Linked DNA regions of Caenorhabditis elegans. Each later gene encodes a partner of the first gene's protein in a complex. Each region holds a gene or a part of one and is shown on either strand. Other genes may lie near its edges.

Region 1 (6,891 bases):
TAGAATTTTTTAAATCTAGACATCTAGAGTAAAAAATTGTTTTTCGAAAATTCTGAACACGATAAAAAAAAAAAAATTGTAATATCTAAAAAATTGAATAAACTTTACTTTTCCGAAAATTTAAATTTTGAATTTTTTTTTGAATTTTTAACCTTTTTAACTTATAACTTTATATTTTCCAAAAAGCTGTAACATTTCAAACATTCTAATTTATGAGAAATTGTAATATAAGCTGTTGTGCTCATTTTAAGCTAAAAACCAGCATAATATCCTAAAAACTGCCAAAATTAGGGAATTTTGAAATGTGAGCAAAAATTTTATTCATCTTTAATTTTTACATTGCTGGTTTGAACTCAATATTTTTACAAAATACTCAAAATTCTTCAAAATTTGAAAAAAAAGTATCAAAAGTAGTAGTAGTAGTATGTCGTAGAAAAACGGATAGTCTATATAATGATTAGTTTGTCTTCCTATTCTCCGTGTTCTACAGGTACACGGGGACATCTTAATTAGAGATACACAGAGACCCCCCAGGCGAGAGATTATTGGAAAGTGAGAGAGGGTGGCAGAGAAAAAGACAGAAAGGGGGACAAAAGGGATATATGGTTCTCCCTGATCGGGCGGTTACGCAATCTGTCTGCGTCTCTTTTATCTGTGATCTCTCGTCTTGTTACCTATATACTTAAAACCAAATTACGCGGAAAACATCAGTGTAGGTAGGCTTTTTACCCTTTGTTGCCTGCCTACCTATGTGTCTACTTTGTGCCTATCTACTTTTTTGAATGCCTACCTATGTACCTATCTTGTGCCTACCTACCTATTACGGGACCATGAGATGAATGCCTATTTACTGGCGCGAAAATATTGACAGGCCGCGGCAGCGAGAGAGCATATGGCGAAGAGAGACGCCGGTCCCTTCGCTACGAGATATTTGCCGCCAGAAAAGTAGGCATTCTCATGATCTCATTGTCCCGTAATACCTACCTACTTGCCTTCGCGCCTACTTATAACCCATTTTGACTTACCGCATTGAAGCTCTAACTCAAGTGAATTACTGGAAAATAGATAATTCAGTGTTGACAGTTCTTGTAGGAAGGAAAGTCTTCATCACTGCCTGCCTGCCTACACGCTTGCCTATCAGTTTTTTAAAACCTACTAGGCAGTCAGGTAGTCAATCTTGTGCCTAGGCGTAAAACTGCTGTAACTCGGCTCAAAATCTTCATTTTCAAATAAAATAAAAAGTGAATGATTTCAAAAATTTTCAAAAACTTTCAAAATTGAGAAACAAAAATTTTGACCGCAGCGGGGGGTCGAACCCTGGTATGTTTTTCCGTAGCTGTGCACCTATTCTCCACTAAGCCACTTTGCCCAAAACAGTTTTTTCGTGGTTTTTCAGCGTAGAATTCGATTTTTTTTTTGGTTAGAAATAGTAACCTTTTGGATTCAGAAGCCTTGGCACATTCCATGTCTTTTCAGCGACAGCAAAAGCGTTTTCAATCCTGTCGATGGCACTCATTTCGGCGGTTTTTGTGAGGTTTATCAGTTTTCGGCTGAAAATGTTCAGGATTTCGGGCTCGAAACTATATTAACTGTGTTTGTCGCACTGAGAGCTTTCATTTGAGTATAATCATGATTAGTTTTGGAAAAAGTTGAATCCCGCCACGAAAATCACATGGGTACTGTAGTTTTCGCGGCGAGACCCTCTCTAAAATTCTTTTTGATGGGGTTCTCGAGTTCTACACGCCGAAACCTTTCAAATGACACCCATATTGCTATACTTTAAAATATTAAATTCCAGGGCCTATGTTTTCCAAATTTGAAGTCCCAGTGAGTTTTCTAGGCCATGTAGTGAAAAGTTAGGCCACCAGCTTGAACATTTCGGAGCCTAGGCATTATGGGTGTCAAATAGACTGTAATGAAATGTTGAATTTAAATTTGATATTGAATTAAAAAAAAATAAGATTAAAAGTTGTTTTGGAAAATTTAGAATTGAAAAAATCCAAAAAAATGTGTTTTTTTTTTGAAATTTTTGAATTTTTTTTCGAATAAAACCATGTTTCATGGAATCTAGAAACTCTTGAAAAACTGATTATCAATAAATTAATTTCTAATGAAAAACCCTTACTCATAAGAATGTATGAGGTAATTGAAGGCATGGCCGTCCCGGAAGGAAGATGTAAAGTCGTAGACGTCAATTTCTTCGTATGATTTCATGACTTCAATGCACCATTGTTTGATGGCTTCGGAGAGCTGAAATTTGAAAATTTAATAGAAAAAATTCTAGGAAAAAAATTTTAAAAAAAATTTTCGAAATTTTTTTTTTCAAAATTTTTTATTTATTTTTTAATTTTTCAAACCCCCGTAACTTTATCAATTTTAAAGATTTCCACTTGATTTTACACTCAAAAAACTCACCTTTTCCTCCCGTAACTGCACGGGTGCATTATTTTTCCAGAAAAACTGAACAAGCTGCCACCAGGCTGAGAGCACCGCTTTCTGCTGCCCTTCCATAACTTCCTGCGGATTCGTCTTGGAATCCCCGATATTTTGCAAAACATTAGGCCAATCGTCGGATGGATTACCCAGTACAGCCATAGTCTGTCCAATAATTGCTTGGTAGACAAAAATCGCGTTTGAACCATCTTGAAGGCTTTTGTAATCGGTTAGACGTTCTGTTCCGAGCAGGTGATTGGCCCAGCGCACGAATACCCACTCTTGGAGCTCATTTTTTGGGTCTGAAAATTTTATTCATAGCTTTTAACGTTCAAATTCAAATTTTCCGTCAAAAACTCTACAAATCGGTTTTTGAAAAATCGAAAAATATGAATTTTGAGCAGATTTACAGTTTGGTGGCCTAGTTTTAGATTTCTAGGCCAGCAAAATTTCTAGATCAGCATAAAATATGTTCAACAGAGTATTGGTGGCAACAGTTAGTTCTCTTCAAGAAGTTTGCTAGAAAAATGGCATTTGTTAACTAGTGGCCTAGAAATCCAAATTCAGGCCACCCAATTTGACTCGCTGGCCTAGGTTTGCTTTTTCTAGGCCACAAAAATAATTTTTCATTATTACAATGCTTTTCACTGACTTCTGCACGTTCATAGCTTTCACATGACACCAATATTGCCATACTTTGGAAATTTTATTCCATGGCCTAACTTTTCAGTTGGTGGCCTAGAATTTTTACTTTTTTAGAAATTGCTAAATTTTATGAAATTAAATTTTAAGAAGCACACAATATTACTGTTTCACTTTAAAATTCTACAAATTTTATCTTACTGGCAAAATTTAAAATTGGTCGCCTAGAAATTCCTCGGCCACCAACAACTTAAAACTCCCAGAACCTATTTGAAATTCAATTTTTGAATTTTTGAATACTCCTAACAAGGAATAAAAACTAAGAACATTTCAAAAATCTGAGCGTCTAAAGTCCAGGCCCAAATGCATTTTCTCGGTCACGGCTTGAAAAGTTAGGCCACCAACTCAAAATAGTCGGATCCTAGGCATGATGGCTGTCAAATTGAAGGTCTCGGTAAGACAGAAACAAATATAAAATAAATGTATGCTGAAAACTATGTTGGTGGCCTGGAAAATCAAAAAAGGTAAATTTCTATGCCATTTTTCGGGGATTTTTCTTTTTTTTTTTGTCTTAAAAATTTTTCAAAAAACTCACCGCGATCACTTTTCTTGTCCTTTTTCTCGTCTTTTTTCGGTTTCGCAGTCGAGGCGCCCGAGAATAACATGGTGTTGTTGCACTTTTTCGTTCGTTTTCGCCTATTCTATACACCAATTGGCATCTGAAATTGGGATTTTTATTAGAAAAAAAAATTAAGTTGTAGAATATAAAATTATTTTTAAAAAACGTGGGGTTATTCTAGAAGTTTTCCAAAAAATAAAAGTTACGAAAAAAGAACGAAATTTTCTGGAAAATTTTTTATTTCTAAAAAAAAATTCAAAGAATTCAAAGAAAAAAATATTGCTAAAAATGAGTAACAGTGACAAAAGTGTAAGTTTTTCTATTTTAGTTTTTCTAATTTCAAAAAATTTAGAAAATTTGAAGAAAAATTTAAAAACGAAATATTGGTGGCCTAGTTTTAGTTTTCTAGGCGACCAATTCGAGTTTTTCAAGTAGATTTTTGTGAAGAGCTAATTGTGAGTAAACCCTTTAATTTGACAATATATTGATTTAAAATTTAAAGTTGGTGGCCTAGAAAAACATAGGCCACCAACGAAAAAAAAACCAAAATGGGTGAAGCTCTATTCATGTTAAATTTAACGTGACACATCAACATTTAAAAAAAAATCAAGCTGATTTTAGTGGCCTAGAGAACCAATCCTAGGCCAGCAACACAAGAAAATTTGAATTTCTAGGCCACCGAAGCCAGTTCTGCGAAGACAATTTGGACGCATTGTGCGAACGACGGGTCGGACAGAAGCATTTTATCCGATTGGATGGATCACAGTTTTGGAGCAGAAAAAGAGCACAATTTGGAGCATGATTTGACGGAATTTGCGCAAATTCCTTTTCGTTGTGCAAATGACTATGAGATTTGTGCGAAACAATCGGAATATGCATTTGATATCTCTAATTATTGATTTTTTCAAAATAAAAATTTTGAAGGAAAATACAAAAATTCAACAAAAAATATGGCTTGAAAAAACTGAAAATGATAATTTTCAGCCAAGTTAGAGCCTTGTGAAGTTGATAGTCTAGAAATTTTCTAGGCCACCAACTTCAAATTTCTCTAATTTGGCTCAATCATCTTGGGTCTAACAAAAACTTTTTTAAAATCATTTCAATAAAAAGGGATATATTTTTAAAAAAAGCATGTGGCCTAAACTTTTTCATGGACAAAGTTCTAGGCCACGAAATCGAAAAGTTAGGCCATGAAAAAGATGAGGCAAAATATGAGTGTGACTACTGAAAGTTTGGAACGTGTGTGAAATTCATCGGAAAAGTTGAAAGAAAAATTGGTGGCCTAGAACATCAAAACTAGGCCAGCAACTGAAATTGTGTGGCCTAACCAAATCTTTCAATTAAACATTCCAGAAAATCCTAGGCCATCTAATTCAAATTCGCAAAAAATGTTTTAATTTTAAGTTAAAAGAAAGCAACTTGAATTTTCGAAATTCTAAGCCACCATACCAAAAATGTCAAGCTTTTAAATTCAAGTTCGGCTGCCTAGAAAACAAAAACTAGGCCATCAAATATATTTTTAACAGACTTGGAAGCAATTTTTAACCTCAAAAACACAAAAAAATAATAACGGCACGTCTACCACACTCTCGTAGGAAATAGTAATGGAAAAGTGTGTGTGTGTGCTCCCGGAGCATTCCCGTGTGTGCACGAGGGGACCCCTCAATCCGTCAGCTGCCGTCGTCAGTCAATTGTTACAATGCACCATCCTCTTGGACATACCCCAACGGCATTTGATGATGATTCGGACATTTCCTGGGAGCTGCTACTTTTGCTGATGTGCTCCGCGAGCTCTACTATCAAAATTTTAGAGGGGACATTTGAGAATTGGGTTGTTAAATGGAACGGGTGGACAGTTGGTTTTTGAGAATTCCCAAACTTTTTTAAAAATAAAAATAAATTTCGAATGAAAAGCGGCTTTATAAATTTCCGAATTTTTCCGAAATTAGCTTCTCATTCGGAAAATCTCCCAAATAATGTTTAAAACTACTATATTCTAAAAAAGGGCAATGTTTTAAATGTTTTTGAGTAAATTTTGTATTTTTGAGTCGTCTAACTACAAAATTTACCATTTTAGAGGAGTTTCAAAATTGTGAATTTTTACAAAAAATTGTCAATTTTTGCCACTTTTCAATAGTTTTTGATGGGTTATATGTACCTAGATTTTCTGAATTCAGCATACATAAACTTACAGTTGTGCCAATATAATTATACAAATTATGTCCCAGCCGAGTTGTGGTGCACTGATCCTCCTACCGTGTTCCGATTTTGGACAACACTGCTGAGAGTACCTATGATCTGATTTTTACCAAATATTTTTCCATGTAAGATCGCCAGATCAGCCAGGAGACGACGGAGCTCCAGGAAAGGCCGGAGACAACAGTCACGACGGAATCCCATCCCCAATTGACGCCTATGCCCAACACGACTGCATCAAGTGCCCAGCAGGAGCCCCAGGGCCAGCTGGACCAGACGGAGAGGCTGGAGCCCCAGGAGAAGACGGACCAGCTGGAAACGACGGTGCCGCAGGTGAAGCCGGAGCCCCGGGATCCGATGGAAAGAATGGACAACGCGGACAGGGAGCTCCAGGACCACAGGGACCAGAAGGACCAGCCGGGGCTGCAGGACAAGACGGAGCACCAGGAAAAGACGGAGAGACCGGACCAGATGGAGCCGCTGGAGAGGCCGGAGGTGAAGGAGCACCAGGACCAGACGCTGCTTACTGCCCATGCCCACCAAGAACCGTCGGATACGGAGAGGGTGACCAGCCACAGGCTGAGCAATCCGGATACAGAAGACGTGCTGCTAGACGGCTCTAGATGCTCGGAGTTTTTTGTCTGAAAATTTCTTGAAATAAACACAATTTTCCATCCTTTTTATAAGTCCTTTATTAAACTCGATTCAACAAAAAATCATTAGCCCTTGCGCAATAGTTATCAGTGTCACAAGTTGATGTTTCACAGACATAATTCGCATAGAAATTTGATGGAACATTGATCCATCCATCCGTTACATAGGTCACCCCCTCGAGCATCTCGAGCATAGGTGAGCACCTCGGAAAATCCGGAGCCCAAATTTGCCATCCCTGTAGTTGCACTTGTTCTTCTCCGCTAGCCTGATCCCATTTCCAAAGTGAGCAGTTTCCATTGAGCCCGATATGATATTTATAAGTAGGTTGGAATTCCTTATAAGTCTTC
Region 2 (8,004 bases), 2.1 Mb from region 1:
ATGCTTACTTTGAACTATGCATATCGTGTAGAAGACACTTTTGACAATCTAATTTGGCAACTTCCATTGCTTTCGAAAATGTGACTTGGTCCTCATCTGTATTTACTAATGCATTTATTGCTTCATTTCGAAATGCAACTTTTCTTTGATTCGGACGTTCTTTTGGCTTTTTGTCAGTCTCCTTTGTCATTTTCTGAAATTGAAAATCTTTTTAGACATTCCTTTATTAAAGGAAGTGTTCTCGTTAAGAATAAAAATAAAAGCAGACTTTGAAAACATGACAACGCGAAAATATTATTTTACTTTTTATTCAAATTTTAAACTGAATTCTTGCACTTTTTCTTGGCGTTAAGATTTAAAAGTTCGTGTATGAATTATTCCACATCGTCAATAATCAATAGTCCGCGGAGAAAAGAAACGGGGCAATAAAATAAAAACATAAATAGCTGACAGAAATTTGAATATGCGATGCACATTGAATGCAATTTCTTGAAATGCTGGTTTGTGCGTCAGATTAAATGCATTGACTGGTGCATACACGGAGCACCAACTCTGCGGACTTTTTCGCAAAAATTTTTTCTGATATTTTGAGACCCGAAGAACTCTGGGGATGTCCAATTGGGGGGATTACCAACTCGGGGGATTGGCCCCGCCCACAGAACCGTGGCTTGCAATACGCCCATTTCTGCAACTGCCGCACGGTTTCGAAACTGTATTTTTCTCAATAGAGCGAGAATTAACAAGAAAAATACAGTTTCAAAACCGTGCGGCAGTTGCAGAAATGGGCGTATTGCAAGCCACGGTTCTGTGGGCGGGGCCAATCCCCCGAGTTGGTAATCCCCCCAATTGGACATCCCCCGAGTTCTTCGGGTCTCGATATTTTGTTCGAGATTCTTATTTTAAAGATTTTCTTCGTTTTTTCCAAATTTCTTCGATAATATATGTGCTAATTTACAAATATATGTTCTAATTTACAGAAAATGGGTAAACGCTTGAAGTCCAACGCCAGAAAAAGCGCTGTAAACAAGCTTGTCAAAAAGACAGACAACAGAATGTAAGGATAACGATAATTTTATCGAATAACCTTGATTTAAAACGCAATATTTCAGAAAAGAAGAACAAAGAGTCATTAGAACACCGAAAGTAGATGAACAAGAACTCAAATTGGTCCGTGCGTAAGTTTTATTCGTACGAATATGTGTCCAGACAATAATAATTCATAATTTCAGTCCAAAAATCTCATCCGCTATGTTTATGAAATACAATACACAGCTGGGTCCACCATTTCACGTTATTGTCGATACCAATTTTGTGAATTTCGCCGTCAAAAATCGCATTGACATGTTTCAAGGATTCATGGATTGTCTGTTCGCGAAAAGTGAGTCATACACTTTCTTTCGTTTTCTTGTATTTTATCACAATAATTCAGCTATTGTGTACGCAACTGACTGTGTATTGGCTGAATTGGAAAAAGTGAGAAGATTCAAAATTGCTCTGAAAGTTCTGAAAGATCCACGTGTGCAGAGACTGAAGTGTGAGCACAAAGGAACATATGCTGATGATTGTTTGGTTCAAAGAGTTACACAGGTTCGTTTATTCATAATTTTTCATTGTTTTTCATTTAATAAAATCTAACAAATCTTAAACGAATAAAATCTATTATGACGAGAAGAGGCAGGAGACGGAATGTGGTATTGCTGCAGTCTTTTTGTTTGGCAAACTTGAACAAATAACGAATCTGAAAATGAAAAAAATAATATAATTTTCAGCATAAATGCTATATTGTGGCCACTTGTGATCGTGATCTGAAGCGCCGCATCCGAAAGATCCCAGGAGTTCCGATCATGTACATTGTCAATCACAGATTCTCCATTGAGCGAATGCCTGATGCATATGGAGCTCCAATGAACTAACCTTTTGATGCTTCACGCGTACAATCCTAATCGATACACCTTGGTGGCGAGAAATGAATGAAGAATGAACACGACTGGCTTTGCGGAATTTAGCAAATCCAATTCCTAAATTTTTCATTCATTTATGCTTCTTTTGTTTTGAATATTACTTGTTGATCTGCTTTTATTGTTTTGTTGCCTATCCTTTTTTTTATTCAAAAACTTTACACAAAAAAAATCCGTTTTTTTTCTATAAGTATGAAATTAAGGTTAAAATAAAATCCATTTTTACCTGTTCACCATGTGGTGGTCCAAAATCGACCCAGAGAAAACGACCACCATCATCGCCGGTGGCGCGAATCGTTTCAAACGAATGTTGCCACAGTACCTGAATTGTAAGCTTTAAGAAAATGTAGCTTCTCTAAATGTTATAAATCTTTGTTTTAATCTAGAAAACGTTTATCACTTTCTTATTGCTAAATTATTCCAATGAGCTCACCTCTCCAGTCGACGAAAGTAATGATATTCCATTGTCTAGATTAACTATTAGTTCGCATGATTCGCCTCGCCAAAGACAAGGAGCAGAGACTTGAGATGTAGAAAGACATGCTTCATATCCACCGATCACTACTGCACGAACCCATCGTGCCAGTTCTGCATGAGTTTCTACCCGGATCGTATGTGTCCGAACACCTTGTTGAGTTCCAGTTCTCATACGGAAAGAGATCACATCAGTGAGACCTTTAATTACTGGCGCAGTTCGAGAACTTGTCTGAACGACTCTTGTTGCCACCAGAGGACGTACTAGTCTTGGCTCTGCCCATTCTGCTTTCAGCTGTGGAACAGCTTCATAGAACAAGATCTCACTATTCGTAAGCGTCATAAATTTAGGTTTCCACATTGAAATTCCATTTTCTGATACTTGTTCTGCAATCCAACCCATATGTCTCACTTGGGGGTTGTTACCGAGCATTATATTGACTTGAGCCAGTGCCTGAGTCAGAAGACACGTGGTACAGGCATGTAAAGCTTCAAACCATCCATCTGCTTCTTCACTACTTGAACATCTCATTGCTAGGGAATACCTTCCTGATGGACTTCTCATTTCTAGAATTCTACCTTCTGCATCTGCATCTATTCCAGCTCTTGCCACATATGCAAGCTTTAAACCAATTGTTCTAACTCGTTCCCGAATATCATCATCCCATTCAACATTTTCCACAATATTTTCCCGATGCATCATATCCTCTCTTCTATACTGTACTTGCAAGTCAACAACCCGTCCAGCTCGTTTCAATGCTCTTACAGCTTCTTCGTGTGAAGCATCGAGAAGGTTTTCTCCATTCACAGAGATAATGACGTCATCAAGAAATAGTTCTCCAGCCTGATCCGCTGCCATTCCTTTGAAGATTTTGCTACAATCGAAATTAATTTTGTTCTTTAATTGCTAAATTAAACATTCTATTTCAGAAAAAAAAGTGTCGATTTACGTATCGTGTGTACTGCCCGAGGAGAAGTGTACATTTTTGCAAACAATTTCACAGTTATCGCCTTAAATTCCTAATTTTGGATAATTCGGGAAATACTTTCTGTTTTTGACCGAAAACTGTAAAATCTTCTGAAAAAATTAAATGCTTCTCCACGGGGAGTACACACGCTGAGTAAATCGACACACGATTGTGTACGAGGTTTGCTAGTCCATTCTTCCATTTTTCAGTTATTATAAAAATTTTCTCTAGAGAATTGCCCTTGTCATTAAAACTAAAAATTATTTATCATAGATCAAAATTTCAAAATTGACGTAAAATCACGAAATGGCACACGAGATGTATAAATCTCCGCAAGTTCATTCATACCTGATCACAATAGGCATGTTGTTGTCTCTGCCTCCCTTAATTGAAATTCCTAATCCATTTCCATCATATTTCACAACTCGAACTGTCCGTTTCTCTGCTTCAGCCTCATTCTGCTCCATTGTCTGAAAAATAGTATATTTATTCATCACAGCTTGAACCCATTTCTCTTTGGATTTCACTTCCCTTGCTCATAAATATCCCCTTCCACGTTTCCCGACCAAATTTTAAACAATTTCAAACAAATTCACACATGCTAATGTAATTTTTGGAGGAGACTGAGTAAAATGAAATCATGCAAGCTGGCATACCAATTTGTCAAAAGCCGGAGCTTCGATTGACGGAATACTTGGAGAAGGGGGAGTAGATGACATGACGACTTCTTTTTTGACAAGCAATGGTATATTTTCTTTGTCTTTTCCCAAAATTTCAGTTGGACTGTCATACCAGAGATGAGAAAGATAAGAAAGCAAAAGAGTTATACACATTTTAATACTTGAGAATATATGTCGGAACGAAGAGTTCATATAGACTCCAAGAAGATAATTATTGTAGTCACAGTATACCTTTCTCCATCCGTTTTCTCCTTTTAAGTCGTATCATATACAAACTTCATCTCTAAGTAGCCTCATTCCATTCTTTCTTTTTTCTTCTAGCAAGAACGACTAATAAGTTTTCATAGCCAACTCGCCTCCTTTTTTGAAAAATGAGCCAAAATGTGGCGAAAGGAAAAGAAGAAGAAGAAGCATAGACTATTTGTAATATGATCCCATTCCCGTTTCTGGTTTCCATAGATGGATCTCTTCAGATGATATATTTCGTTCGTGGGCATCAGAAAACTTATGTTCGACGTAATTTCGTAAAAAAATAAATGTTTTATGACGCCAGAATACGGTGCCTGGTCTCGACACGACTGAAAACTTACAAAAAGATTAAAGGATTAAAGGTGTGAAAAATGTGTGTGCGCCTTTAAAACCTACAGTAATCTCCAGACCCAATCTCCAGCAGCTGCTTTTTCTAAAACGAAACAGTCTGCGAAATAGTGAGGATTAGAGCCTACTGTACTTCATAAAGGCGCACATTCTTTTCCGACAAATTTATTTATAACTGCTCGATACGAGGTTCTGGCTCGACCCCGCGCTCCATCGGACGCTGAAATGGCGGGAAAATTTTTTTGAAATCGCAAGAGGAATTTTCACGCAGCGCGTTGAAAAAGTGTATGCATTTGCGCGTGACGGTGTTTGCACAAAATACACCGAGGGGTCGAGCCAGAAACCCGTGCTCGATCGTGTTGAGACACGGTACCGTATTCTTTTGTCTTGAATAGCAAAATTTCGCATTTTGGTATTAATAAGAACGACCACTATTTTTCAGCAACTTGTATCATTCCACATTAGAAAAATGAATGATATTTTATTATACCGAAATTTAAATTATTTAACAATAATTGTTTCAAATATAGATTTTTGTTCGTTTTTAGAAACCATCCAATTTATTTTTAGAATTTCGCGAAAAATGAGTTGTTTTACAATAATTTCCAGTGGTTTTCTAGTTTTCGGAATATTTTATCATTAAAAAATTACTTGTAATGTGATAGCAGTTGGATCGAGAGTAGCCAATACACGATGCCATTGTCCCTGAACAAAAATGTCGACCAGGCCGGATCGAACGGCGGCCATCGAAACGACGCCGATCTAATCGGAGCAATACTACGAAATTGAGCCGATTGTACTCTGTAAAGTTGAATATTGCATATACCAATTTATGCCAAAAATTTGAATTCAAATTCGGGAGGATTTGTAGCGGAATGAAGGAAAGCGAGAAAAAAAACCAGAAGAGAAAGATGCTAAGAAGCAAAGAAACAGAAAGAAAAGGGGCAATAATAGAATATTTGGGCTGTGGGAGCAGCAGAGGAGTCCTCTCTCTTCTATTTCCCCTCGTTTTTCTTCTTCTCTCAACTGCTCTCTTCTCCGTCGGATGAAGCCGGAGAGCTAGTGCGACGGCACTCCTGCTCCCTCTTCTGCCTAACATGCTCTCTGATGAACTCTACCGCGCACTCCGAGTCTCGCTTCTTTCTCTACATCTCACTCTTTCTTTTTCCATCTGACTCTCAGCTTGGTGCCTCGAATTTATATCGGTTATGATTGTGTGTTGGGCGAAGAATCCCGTTGGCTTCCCGCCACGAGACGAACACTTACACACTACGTGACGAACACATGCAATTGTATTGTTGAAGAGAGAAGAAGCAAGTTGATCCTTTATTCTTTTCTTTATTTTCTTTCTCATTTGGTTGTAGTTGTAGTTTTCTGTGTCGTACGATATATTACAACCAATTGCAATTACTACATTAATCAGAAGTATTCCCTTTTACAACTTTTTTTATACAGTGAAAGTTAAATATTATCCAATTTAATTCCTATTTTCGAAATAAATTGAAATTACTATTAGGTGTTCTGTTTTTCGTGATGAAATTTAATTTTCAATTGCTGCTCTAGATACTTTAGCTCTCTAACTACAGTACCCCAGCAGAAATGCAATCTTTAAAAATCTATAGAAAATCCATCTGAAAATCCATCAATGTTTTTTCTTCCAAAAGCTATTCTATTCTGTGTCAAACAATTCTGAAAAACTTGAGAAAAAATTGAATAATTTTAGAATCTTGTTCCTTGATCTTTCTTCAAACATTTAGATCATTGACCGTATCTGATTTCTTTTTCCCTCCCTCCCCTCCACCAGTTATTGTTTCTCAATTTTTTGACGTTGAGCTTTGTTGTGTATTGAGCGAGAGACAAGGAGAGAAGTAGTTTATTACAAGAAAGTGTAAGAAGTAATGAATTATAAAGAGAGGTCGCTTACGCGATAAGTTCATGATGACCCAAAGGTCACGTCTGTATAAAGTTCAGGTTTACGTTCCGTCCACAACATCTCCCCTCTTATATGACAAAAAGCCAGAAATTATGCCTGGGCTAGGGGCATCACGACCAGAGGCGGTATATCGACCTCTGCGGCGAGTGGAGGCATGATCAGTGTTTGGGGCTGATCCTCGCACAACTTGTCGTGGGTGACTCTGTCGAAGAGAATGACACAGGAGGATGCCGGGTTGGAAACGCTCGCCGTCACTCGCAACATCGGATTCCAGCAGGGGGTCCAGATGGGTTTCTTTGATTGGCGAACTTCCAGAAGTATATGATTGGCGACTCTTTGCCACACGGCGACGTCTTCTGTGGCTTTTCTTCAACGAACTCTTGCTCTCCGTAACATGAATCGTAGTTATATTTGCACAAGTAGCATTTCGAGCATTGCCGGCAACCGACGAGACGACTTCACGAGCAGATCGAGAACCAACAGAATCACAAGCTGACAAATCTGGAGCACTAAAACCAAAAACAGAAGAATCTGAAACTAAAACTGGATTAGCTTCCCTCCCCTCCCCACGGACACCTTGAGCGACAAATTTTTGGCGGCAACTAGAGCGCGGAATGTTTTCCAAGAGCGACAATTTACACGGATTTTCGATGAATGATGAAGCATAGTCATTCCCACGGCTCCGGCGACCGCAAATGTGACGGAGTTGGTTCGTGTGAATTCTTTGAATTCTCGATCCCAACTGTACTTCATAGAGTACTCCGTTCAATTGTCTTTGAACCACTCCATAAATCCAGCCAAAATTGTGCTCTCCTTGAACCCGAGCAAGGCACAATTGCCCAATCTGAAACGCTTTATTGCGCGCAAATCTTACATACTGGCGCTTACTACTACGCGGCGCAGATGCAACAACATGTCTTTCAACATTTTCAGCACGATCTTTGTATCCAGTAGGAATCCTTGAGAACGAGTGCATATTTTGCTTCGAGTTATCCACAGTGGATATATGATTAACCATTACGGCCAGAGCATCACGCATTTGAGGCGAGTGGCGCATCCAACTGGTGCCTAACAGATTATTGTTTCTGTTCCAGACGTACACATACTCAGTGTATTCGACACCTTTGACTTTGAACCATACGAGCACTCTACCTTTGACAGCGATTTCAGTACCATTGGCACAGCAAATTTTGTGGTGGACCTTTTCGAGATGCGGTTTCCCGATCTTTTGCCAGTTCTGGACACTGATAAGGGTGATGTCACTGCCTGTATCAAAAGTGAAATCGATCTGTTGTCCTTCCACGTTCAACCGAAGACTAGGCGATGTCTGTCTTCCAGACCCAACCTCGAGCGTATTCACTTCAGAATGCTCAGTCTTACGATTGGTCACACCT

Evidence for each region.
Region 2: dys-1 (region 1) and stn-1 share a complex: the UniProt entries of both Caenorhabditis elegans proteins name them as parts of the dystrophin glycoprotein complex.

Annotation. Positions count from the first base shown.
Region 1 is NC_003279.8:11,554,053-11,560,943, forward strand, and holds the start of dys-1 (Dystrophin-1), read right to left. Parts: upstream 3,800-6,891; 5' UTR 3,741-3,799; coding exon 3,671-3,740; intron 2,736-3,670; coding exon 2,416-2,735; intron 2,251-2,415; coding exon 2,126-2,250; intron 1,551-2,125; coding exon 1,435-1,550; intron 1-1,434. Other genes in the region: F15D3.9 (SAM-dependent methyltransferase), read left to right, coding at 3,983-4,003, 4,369-4,593; clec-101 (VWFA domain-containing protein), read right to left, coding at 6,585-6,891. UniProt on the Caenorhabditis elegans protein: Plays a role in cholinergic transmission and as a functional partner of dystrobrevin (dyb-1), necessary for muscle maintenance. Required for neuronal positioning. May play a role in the localization of slo-1 near dense bodies in the muscle.
Region 2 is NC_003279.8:9,498,742-9,506,745, reverse strand, and holds stn-1 (Syntrophin-1), read right to left. Parts: upstream 5,479-8,004; 5' UTR 5,425-5,478; coding exon 5,329-5,424; intron 3,871-5,328; coding exon 3,749-3,870; intron 3,308-3,748; coding exon 2,392-3,307; intron 2,344-2,391; exon of another isoform or gene 2,281-2,343; coding exon 2,185-2,280; exon of another isoform or gene 2,019-2,184; coding exon 1,926-2,018; 3' UTR 1,915-1,925; exon of another isoform or gene 1,914-1,914; coding exon of another isoform or gene 1,770-1,913; intron 1,739-1,769; 3' UTR 1,588-1,738; downstream 1-1,587. Other genes in the region: Ubiquitin carboxyl-terminal hydrolase usp-48, read right to left, coding at 9-190; F30A10.9 (PIN domain-containing protein), read left to right, coding at 981-1,054, 1,110-1,175, 1,230-1,378, 1,430-1,587, 1,770-1,913. UniProt on the Caenorhabditis elegans protein: Adapter protein that binds to and probably organizes the subcellular localization of a variety of membrane proteins. May link various receptors to the actin cytoskeleton and the dystrophin glycoprotein complex (DGC).